3 linked regions of the Macaca mulatta genome follow. The protein of the gene in region 2 interacts with the protein of the main gene of each other region in a pairwise test. Links are inferred from orthologs where the notes say so. Each region holds a gene or a part of one and is shown on either strand. Other genes may lie near its edges.

Region 1 (3,500 bases), on a different chromosome or scaffold from region 2:
GATCACTTGAGCCCAGAAGTTTGAGACCAGCCTGGCCAATGTGGTGAAACCCCATCTCTACTAAAAATACAAAAATTAGCTGGGCATGGTGGCGCATGCCCATAATATCAGCTACTCAGGAGGCTGAGGCACAAGGATTGCTTGAACCTGGGAGGCAGAGGTTGCGGTGAGCCAAGATTGCACCACTGCACTCCAGGCTGGGCAACAGAGCGAGACTTGGTCTCAAAAAAATAAAAATAAAAATAAAGAGGAGAAAGAAAAGGAGCTGGCCCAAAGCTGGGTGGAGGACGCCTGGGGACAATTCTTCTGTGTATTCCTCCTGCTGGCCCTGGCCTGTAACACGGGCTCTGCTCTCAGTTCTCAGTTTAGATTTGGTGGTCCTGGACTTGAGATTTCTGACATCCCTTCGGGGCAGCTCCAAGTACCCACCATGTGTGATGCCTGGGACTCACTTGGCCTCTTCACCGTCGCTGGTGCCCTTTCCTGAGTTTCAGGCTCATGAGATCATTCCCTGTCCTCCCATCAAACATGACCCCTCGTGTTCAACTTAGAATGAATGCCTCAGGGGGACAAATACAGTGGAAAGGTAAGATTGAAACAGGCAGAGCTTTGAAACGCACAGGGCTTGACAGTGGCACTGGGGACTGGCGTTCTGGAAGGCACATGGGGTGGCCAACGTTTAATTCCAAAGCCAAACTGAAAAGGATCAACTAACACGCAGTGTGATCCTCGCCTCTACAGAGGTGTCGCGGGTTTGAGCTCAGAGGGGAAGGAGGCTCAATCACGCCCCTCTCCAGGACAGAAGCCACTGCTCAGTTTGAGCAGGGCCTGTGGGTAAAGTGTAGATACAGGAAAAACAGCCCCGTTGTCAATTCTCCCCCTCAAGCTCAAACGCAACAATGAAGCTGCACAAACACTTCTCTACTTACTGGCATGGTTTTGTCTCCAAAGAAATAAATGGTCTTATAACCGTCATTTTCCACATGTCGCAGGCAATACCTCTTGTCCCATCCATCAGGAAAGACATCAAAGCTGATCTGGCCTCCTGCCGGGTGGGGATGGGGCACATACAAGCAAAAGGTGAAAAAGGGGCTAATGATATGTCACTGAAAAAAAAACAATTTACTCTTTGTCAGTTAGTGGGGTGCCAAGGTTGATTTTCAGTACTCTAGTTTGCTACTTAGACTATTGCATGGATAGGTTCTAGAAATTAATTCTACATCATGTTTTCTGTTCCAGCATTATTTCACGTAGGTCTAAAATTGAGGCACAGAATGCCAACTCAGAGTGAGAAATGCATTTGCATTTAAGCGCCCTGTCAAGCATGTGGTTTAAAGGAAGCATGCTTATGAAAACTCATTCTGCTGTGCTCGTCTCGGGCTTTAACACACCCTCAGTGGAAAATGCCTGGAAGCAGGCCGCATCCAGCATATTTGCAGGAAAAATGAGAATCCTCACTGAAGGTGATTTATAGGCAGCGCTCGTGGGCAACAAGAAACCTTTCAAAGCTTTGTCAGAAAGATGTCCATCTCACAGTTCAGGAATACAAAAAACCCACCCACTCATCTGTTAAATATAATCCCTTTGCCATTCCAGTTTTCCTACAACCTCTACCTTTATGAAAGCTAGTACAATGAGGAGGCTTTGAGCAATGACTCATTAGCCCTGACAAGAGAAATCGGTGTGCAAAGCATTTGACAGGCATACTCTAACAAAAGACAAGCCGGAGACATCCATGCTGCAGGAAGAACTCTGCATTGGACACCAGAAGTGTTCACACACTGGCTGTGTAAACAACAGCTTTGTGAACTCGGACAAGTCTCTTCTCCTTTTTGGGCCTCAGTTTCTTAATCTGTAAAAGCCACCCAATTGGCTCCTAAGGTTCCCGCTGTTGAAACATTGTATGATTCCAAGACGTCGGTCTCGTTTACCTAAGGGGTTCAATTCCATGTCTCCCTTACGGAGTTCACTATAGCGCTTCTCTTCCGCCCAAAGGTGTGAGAAGTTCCTACTCATTAGTAATTGAAGTGCTCCTCTTCTGACGAGAGAAGTGCAGGTAGGAAGAATCCTGTTGTGTAAGAATTTAGAAGCAAGCCCAACAGTCTGGAAGCTGTTTCTTGACTAGGCAAGTCCTATTATGGCTAACTATGCAGAAAAGAGAGTGGCCGCTTTTTGTCTACAGACTGGACTGCTCATTTAATCTTCCTGCCCACCTAAAACTGCACATACTCCATTATCAATAGCTCACTGGCCCACAACAAATTCCAGGAAATGGGGATCCAAGTTTGTAACACAAACAATATATACAATACCTATGGAAAACGTGAGGCCTTTTCCTGCAAACTCTTTCCGTAGATCTGCTACAAACTTTTGTCTTATATTTTCCTTCTGAGAAAAAAAAAAAAAGATGCCAATTGTCTCTTGTATTGCAGTTTAGAAAGCACACTTTTAACTACTAGCCACCAAGGTATGAATATCTTATTTATTTATTTGTTTAGTTTTTGAGATGGGGGTCTCACTCTGTTGCCCAGGCTGGAGTGCAGTGGCATGATCACAGCTCACAGCAGCTTCAACCTCCCAGGCTCGAGTGATCCTCTCACCTCAGCCAAACAAATAGCCGGAACCACAGGTGTGTGCCACCATGCCCGGCTAATTTTTTTTTTTTATTATTTGTAGAGATGAGGTCTCACTATGTTGCCCAGGCTGGTCTTGAACTCCTGGGCTCAAGTGATCCTCCTGCCTTGGCCTCCCAAAGTGTTAGGATTACAGGCATGAACCACCACACGGGGCCATATCTTATTTCCATAAACCCAGCCATTCACCAAAGATATTTCAGAAAGACTTACTTTATCGAGTTCATAGAACTCAATGCGTTCTTCTTGGCTGCAGCTTCTTCCAATTGGCGACACGTTTAACATCCCATTCCGGAATTCAATGAAAGTACCCCTGGGAATGAAAGAGTGACAGAGGTTCCCCAAAACACATTATTTATTTGGGAAACATCATAAACAGCCTAAAATCTTGGGAAATTCTAAAAAGCAGAGGCCAGTGTGGTCAATGTTTCTCAGCTCTGTGCTGTGTAATACGGTAGCCATGAACTACTGTGACTAATGAGACCTGAAATGTGGCTAACATGAATTGAGATTAGATTTGAAAGACTTAGTATGAAAAAGGAATGGAGTCACATCAGTCATGTTGTATACTGACTTTGTGTCAAAATGGTCATATTTTGAGCCTGGATGACACGGCGAAACTCTGTCTCTACAAAAAATACAAAAATCAGCCAGGCATGGTGATGCGTGCCTATAATCCCGCTACTCAGGAGGCTGAGGCAGGAGGATTCCATGAGCCTGGGAGGTAGGGGTTGTAGTGAGCTGAGATCACATCACTGCACTCCAGTCTGGGTGACAGAGTGAGACCCTGTCTCAAAAAAAAAAAAAAAAAAAGGGTCATATTTTAGATATATCAGGCATCTCACCTTTTCCTTTTCATTCTTTCAA
Region 2 (2,869 bases):
AGGTTCCCCCACAGCCCACTCCGTCCCCTAGCCTGGAGAGAGGGATGAGCTCACAAGCCCAGCCTCCCACACAGGTACGGCCTTTCCCGCCTTTGAGATGGAAGCCTATAGACCCGTGGGCGTCATGGACTTCCCTCGCACTGATGCCGGGAACCTGGCAGGCACTGTGCATCCTCAGCTGCAGGTGGGTGTGTGTGTGGTGGGGGGGTGATTGCTGGGGCCACAGCCTTGGGGAGGAGGGTTGTCAAGGAAAACTGAGCCCCAGAGGGTGCAGCCAAGCCTCCCATGAGCTCACCAGCATCTCAGGTTGAGGAGCAGGATGGGAGGCTGGGCTCCACCGTCCCACTTCCCCTGGCCCCGCTGCCTTCCCTGGAACCCCACACTCAGGCCTAACACAAGAGGCCACAGTGATCCCCATAGCTCCTGTGGAGGGCATGATGGAGACAACCTTACCCTGGCCATAAAAGGCAGAGGGAGGGGACATGGAGCAGGCATGACTCAATTCACCTGCTTGGAGGTACAAATACAAAACTGTCTTCTGATTTTCAGTTGAGAGCATCCCCATGCCTGTTGGCAGGTCGTCCAAGTCTCTCTCTCTGCAGGCCTTCCCTTCTGGAATGTTCCAGGATTGGGCAATCCTGCTTTCACACCTTTCTCTTGGGTGCCTGGGGAGAACCCACTGGCTGCTGCTCTGCTTGCTGCCACACGGGTCATTTTTGAATAGGGTCTGGTGCAGTTTTGTGGCCTTTTGTGCCCTGAAGTTTCATTTTGAGGAGTTACTTTCTTACAAATGGAGGCAGCACCGTCCTGTCCGTGTTTAGGGCTAGGCAGTCTTAGTTCAGCCGTGCCCAGCTACCTTGCAGATGTTAAGTAGTAACGGTCAATTTGGGTGGCCCCTCCTACAATTCTAAAATTTATTTTATTTATTATTTATTATTATTATTTTTTGAGACAGAATCTTGCTTCATCGCCCAGGCTGGAGTGCAGTGGTGCAATCTTAACTCACTGTGACCTCTGCCTCCCGAGTTCAAGCAGTTCTCCTGCCTTAGCCTCCTGAGTAGCTGGGATTACAGGCACTCGCCACGACACCCAGCTAATTTTTGTATTTTTAGTACAGACAGGGTTTCACCATGTTGGCCAGGCTGGTCTCGAACTCCTGACCTCAAGTGATCTGCCCGTCTCGGCCTCCCAAAGTGCTGAGATTACAGGCATGAGCCATTGTGCCCGGCCTTAAAATTTATTTATTTATTTGAGACAGAGCCTTGCTCTGTTGCCCAGGCTGGAGTGCAGTTGCATAATATTGGCTCACCATAACCTCCGCCTCCCAAGTTCAAGCGATTCTCCTGCCTCAGCCTCCCGAGTAGCTAGGATTACAGGCGCCCACCACCACACCTAGCTAATTTTTGTATTTTCAGTAGAGATGAAGTTTCACCATGTTGGCCAGGCTGGTCTTGAACTCCTGACCTTATGATCCACCAGCCTTGGCCTCCCAAAGTGCTGGGATTACAAGCGTGAGCCACTGTGCCCAGCCAAATTTTATTTAATAAAGAATCATATTGTACTTACTGTGTGCCAGACATGCTGTAAGCACTATTAGCCTGTTTAGTTTAAACTTCAGAATGATAGGAGGAGATACTGTAATCCTTATTTTACAGACAAGAAAGCTGAGGAACAGAGGTTAAGTGACTTGCTCACAGTCACACCGTTAGCAAGGATTTGAACTCCAGCTTCAATACCTGTGCCCATGTCCATGAGGGTCCACTTCCACATGGGCACATGCCTCCCCACGGTGACTTGTGCCTTCATTTCTAGACACAGAGCAGACTGGCATCTCACCAGACCTGCTGTCTCACGGATTGAGGAAGTGAAGCATGGGTGGGAAAGGCCACAAATGAGGGGCATCTTTTGGGTGCCAAGCTGGGGTCACCTCCCTCTGGGGCCAGGGCAGAGGTGGCTCCAGCAATCTTGGACTTGGCTCTCCTCCCAGGACCGAGACTTCCAGCCGCTGCAGCCCGGTGCTCCCATCTTCCAAATGTTCAGTGGGGAGGACCTGCTCTATGATGGGGAGTCCACGGTGTACCCCGTGTTCATTAATGAGGCTGCCTACTATGAGAAGGGCATTGCCTTTGTCCAGACTGAGAAGTTCACATTCACCGTGCCTGCCATGCCTGTGCTGAACCCTGCCCCGAGCCCAGCTTCCTAACCCAAGCCACACCTCCCCAACTTCAGTCTTCCCATCTGAACAATGGGTCCTGAGGCATAGCTCTGAGCACAGAGGTCCCTTTTGCCACCTACCATGTACCATGTTCCTTGCCAGGCCCCCCAGCCCCTGGCCTCAGTTTCCCATTCTATAAAATGGAAGATGTCCAGAGGTCCATGGTTTGTGTCCTCTGTCCTGCACAGCTCCTGTCTGGCTGGCACAGTGGATGGAGGAAGGGAGGTTGACCACAGGATCTGGGGGAGGTCTGGCCAGTGCAGCCTTGGATGCACAAGTGTCTTGGGGCCAGTGGTGGCTGCCTCTGTGCCCACAACTGTCCATCCATGCCCAGAGGAGGATCCCAGAGTGTAGGAGGAGAACCTGGAGAAGAATTTTGCTCTGGATCCAGCAGAGGGGCTTTCGGAGGAAGCCACAACCCAGAGGGGGACCCCCCAACCCTCCTACAGTCCTGGGGCCAGAGGGTGAGTGTGGGGAGTGCAGAGCCGGGCCCATGTCTGTGCACACGTGTGTGTTTGTCCATGCATAGCGCCTGCCCCGTGTGCTCTTTGGCGTGCGTGTCTGTGCGTTTCCCACACACACGTGTTTCCAAGAGCCTCAGTTGCTTGGGCGTTCTAAGGGGATCTCTATGTGGCCAGATGTGCATTTCCAAGT
Region 3 (3,500 bases), on a different chromosome or scaffold from region 2:
TTCTGCATCTCCTTGCCAACGCTTCTTTCAACTTTTTGATAACAGCCATTCAACAGGTGTCAGGTATTATTATCTCATTGTGGTTTTAATTTGCATTTCCCTGATGATTAGTGATCTTGGACATTTCTTCACATACCTGTCAGCCACGTGTCTGTTTCCTTCTGAGACATGTCAATTCAGGTCAAGTCATTCCTTCTAACAGTAATTAGACAGCAAAGCCAAATTATATTAAGGCACTTCCCCATAACATTAAGCCATATCTTCAGCATTTGGAAGAATGTTTGTTTTCTGAGCCTTCATGCAGTAAATCCAAAGGGGAGTTTTGTTCACTGCTCTAACCTACTGCCTAGAACAATGCCTGGCACACAGCAGGAACTCACAGCTGTTGAATTATTAGGCAAAATATGCATAATATGTTTATTATCTTAGCAAAGGGGGGAAATCCTCAAGTCACAATATACGGAGAACAGAAAGTAAGTTGTAAAATATTTTTTATTGTAAAAACAAAGTCAATAAAGGTTGACAATGTAAATGTTATCTCAGAACATTTCCCCTTGGTTCCTGAATTTGCTAGATTCCTATGTACCAGCAAGTCTCCATTAGCATTTCTCAGGTTTCATGATCCTTTTCAGATATGTTGGTTGATTATATGTATATATTGCTTACAAACAAAAATCCACCTGATATTAAAACAAACCAAAAAAAAAAAACCATAAAAGCAAGCAAACGAACAGAAAACCCTAGTTTTGTTGTGCTTTTCTTTCACATTTCCTACAGGGAGATTTGTATATCTCAGATGCTTTCAAAATCTAATAGGTAAGTAAAATTAGTGCCCTAACTAAACAGTAAGATACCAAAGAATCCTCCATCACAAATTACTGAATCAAACTTCTCATGACATTTGCAGTATATTCAGATTTGAAGATTTTTTTTTATTTAGAATTTAAAACAAACTTTAGACTGCTGATTTTCCATATTTCAAAGACTGTAGCTGTTTGCAGCATATAAATGGAGAGAGTAGTGCAAAACACATCAAGTTTTATATGATAAATATATACTTTCAACCTAATGGCTGCCTCAAAAGTAAAGAGTGAGCAATTACTTCTCAAATAAATCTAGATTGACTTTCAGTTCACAATTTAGAAATAGCAATTGCTACTCTATTTCCATAGATTGCAAACTGATTTCAGATACAGATTACACATACAATTGTTTTACAAAAATAGAAATATTGTTTGGGATTTTACAAAACTTTATAAAATATAACACTATATTTGCAAATTCAAGATAGTTTCACACTGAAATAGATAATACTTCCACGATATGAAGTCTAGCCAGACTTAAAGTGGTCTGCCTTGAGACCATCCTTACACATTATTTCTTCCAAATCTTCAAGCCTAGGTAAACCTGTGCTCTAACACAGGCTTTGTAAAAAAGAGATTGTTTATTTTCAAGGGTTTTATAAGATTTTCAATCCAGAAATAATGTTAAAGCAGATGAATTTATATCTAAAAATATGTCTTACTAAAGGTGGAAGCTAATGCAGTATAATTCTATGTAACTGATAAATTTCAAACCAAATTCCTAAGAATGACAACCTATTATTAATTTAAAATATATATTTGACAATTATAATTTGGGACCTATGTAAAACAAATATATAATCACAACTATTTTATGGAAAAATATTTATTCATATAGAGTGAAAATACCTCCAAACTTAGTTATTTGTAGCTGTCGGATGAGAAGTATTTCCTAATTACACCCATTCATAAACACTCACTTTATCACTTCAAAGAGCACCAGTGTATTTTTTCGAAAACCAGAAAGTAAGAAGGTAGGGGGCTTATTTCATGTAACAGTGCTATTATGATAAGGCACCACTAGGTATATGAAAAAGCCAAACAAAGTATTTCCAAATCATGTGTTTTTGTTACTGGTGTTTTAACCATTAGACACGATGGTTAGAAAAAAGCTACTAACATATTAATGAACCACATTATAACCCCTTTCCCACCATTCTGTGCTTTTAGTTTTACCTGTAACAGAAATGAAAACAACACAGTAGTACATGATCTGTTCAACAAACATCTTTTCCCAACCTTCCGAGAAAATAACCTAAAAATAAACAAGAATAAGAAATAAAAAATGTATCTGATATATTCGCAAAAGTCTATCCCTGTAGAAGAGTGCGAGGAGTGGGAGAAGGCAGGGGACCTACTTTCTATGGAATATATTGAGGCACATAGGTTACAAGTTTCTCAGGCAAATTCATGGCTAGAACAAAACAGAGAGCCCAGAATCTTACATTTCCCCCAAAGCTGATTTCTCAGATAGCCACACCTGATTAAATACTCCCAAATGTGTCCTTAGTCACTGCTGTCATCATCATCATCATCATCAGACATATCATTTAAAGGAGACTTCAATGACTGACTATAAGAGTCTGATCTAGCAGGTTGGCATGTGGCCATGTCCCCAGTAGAAAGCAGGTCATAGCAGAAGTCACAAATCCGCACAGGCTTAGAGGACTGGCTGGGAAGAAGAAATCTCTTTTCAGAGCAGGGCCCACAGACAACAAAACCACATTTGCGGCAATGGTGGCGACGATTAACAGGTGTGAACTTTGCTTTCTGACAACGCATACATACAGTTGCCTCAGAGTCAGGAACCCAGACAGCAGCATGTTCATTACTGGGTGTCTTCCCACTTTTGGAGAGTAAATCAGTAACACATTTATTTATGTGATTCATCCATTCTGATTTCTCCGTAGCAGTGGCAGCATAAACTGCAAAAGATTTAGTTGGTGTCTTGATTAGCCATCCATTCCTTAAGTCTCCCTCATCTTTGATGGAATCAATAGTGACATTTTCCAGGGGAATAATATGTTGTTTGTTATATTTTTTCTTCTGGATGACAATATTGCCATATACAAGAATATCATTAAATAAGAAAAACTGCCTTGCTTTGGGTTTTTTTCTGCACAACTTAGTCAATACTCCTTCTCCAATAAGAACTCGTCCAGGTATAGTTAAAGGTTGACCAGCTGCTCCGAAACAGTTTTCCACTATGCTTATACGTCTAGTATTTGCTTCACTGTTTGCCAAGCGATCCACCATCTTTCACTAATAGCCTTTAAAAAAAAAAAAGAAAAAGAAATTAGCACATATAAATTATAAATTCCTATAATTATATATAAATTTAAGCTAACAAATCATTGCTTCTACACAAAGGCAAAATGTTCTAAAATTCTTTCCCTCTAAGATAATCACTAAGCACATCAAAAGGGCTAACATTTCTCAATTTTTAAAATCATCAAAAACACTTATTTGTCATCTCCATGTAGCACCACACTAGTTAAGCAGGTATTTGTAAAAGTATAAACTTCCTACAGACATAATTGAAAGATGATTGAATAATTAACATAACTTATCTCTGCAAAATAATGTTCAATGAAATGTAATCTCAATGGGATTCTGAACAATAGAGAACAAAATATT

What was found.
Region 1: the proteins of ACY3 (region 2) and PMM2 interact in binary tests that used the Homo sapiens proteins (3 or more experiments, as listed by UniProt). The two-hybrid records come from large-scale screens. The link is inferred for Macaca mulatta from reciprocal best matches to the Homo sapiens genes ACY3 and PMM2.
Region 3: the proteins of ACY3 (region 2) and PLEKHF2 interact in binary tests that used the Homo sapiens proteins (3 or more experiments, as listed by UniProt). The two-hybrid records come from large-scale screens. The link is inferred for Macaca mulatta from reciprocal best matches to the Homo sapiens genes ACY3 and PLEKHF2.

What each region holds. Positions count from the first base shown.
Region 1 is NC_133425.1:10,037,952-10,041,451, reverse strand, and holds part of PMM2 (phosphomannomutase 2), read right to left. Parts: intron 2,947-3,500; coding exon 2,847-2,946; intron 2,389-2,846; coding exon 2,313-2,388; intron 1,046-2,312; coding exon 930-1,045; intron 1-929. UniProt on the Homo sapiens protein: Involved in the synthesis of the GDP-mannose and dolichol-phosphate-mannose required for a number of critical mannosyl transfer reactions.
Region 2 is NC_133419.1:6,738,208-6,741,076, forward strand, and holds the end of ACY3 (N-acyl-aromatic-L-amino acid amidohydrolase (carboxylate-forming)), read left to right. Parts: intron 1-74; coding exon 75-184; intron 185-1,987; coding exon 1,988-2,203; 3' UTR 2,204-2,369; downstream 2,370-2,869. UniProt on the Homo sapiens protein: Plays an important role in deacetylating mercapturic acids in kidney proximal tubules. Also acts on N-acetyl-aromatic amino acids.
Region 3 is NC_133413.1:105,549,963-105,553,462, reverse strand, and holds the end of PLEKHF2 (pleckstrin homology domain-containing family F member 2), read right to left. Parts: intron 3,134-3,500; 5' UTR 3,120-3,133; coding exon 2,370-3,119; 3' UTR 472-2,369; downstream 1-471. UniProt on the Homo sapiens protein: May play a role in early endosome fusion upstream of RAB5, hence regulating receptor trafficking and fluid-phase transport. Enhances cellular sensitivity to TNF-induced apoptosis.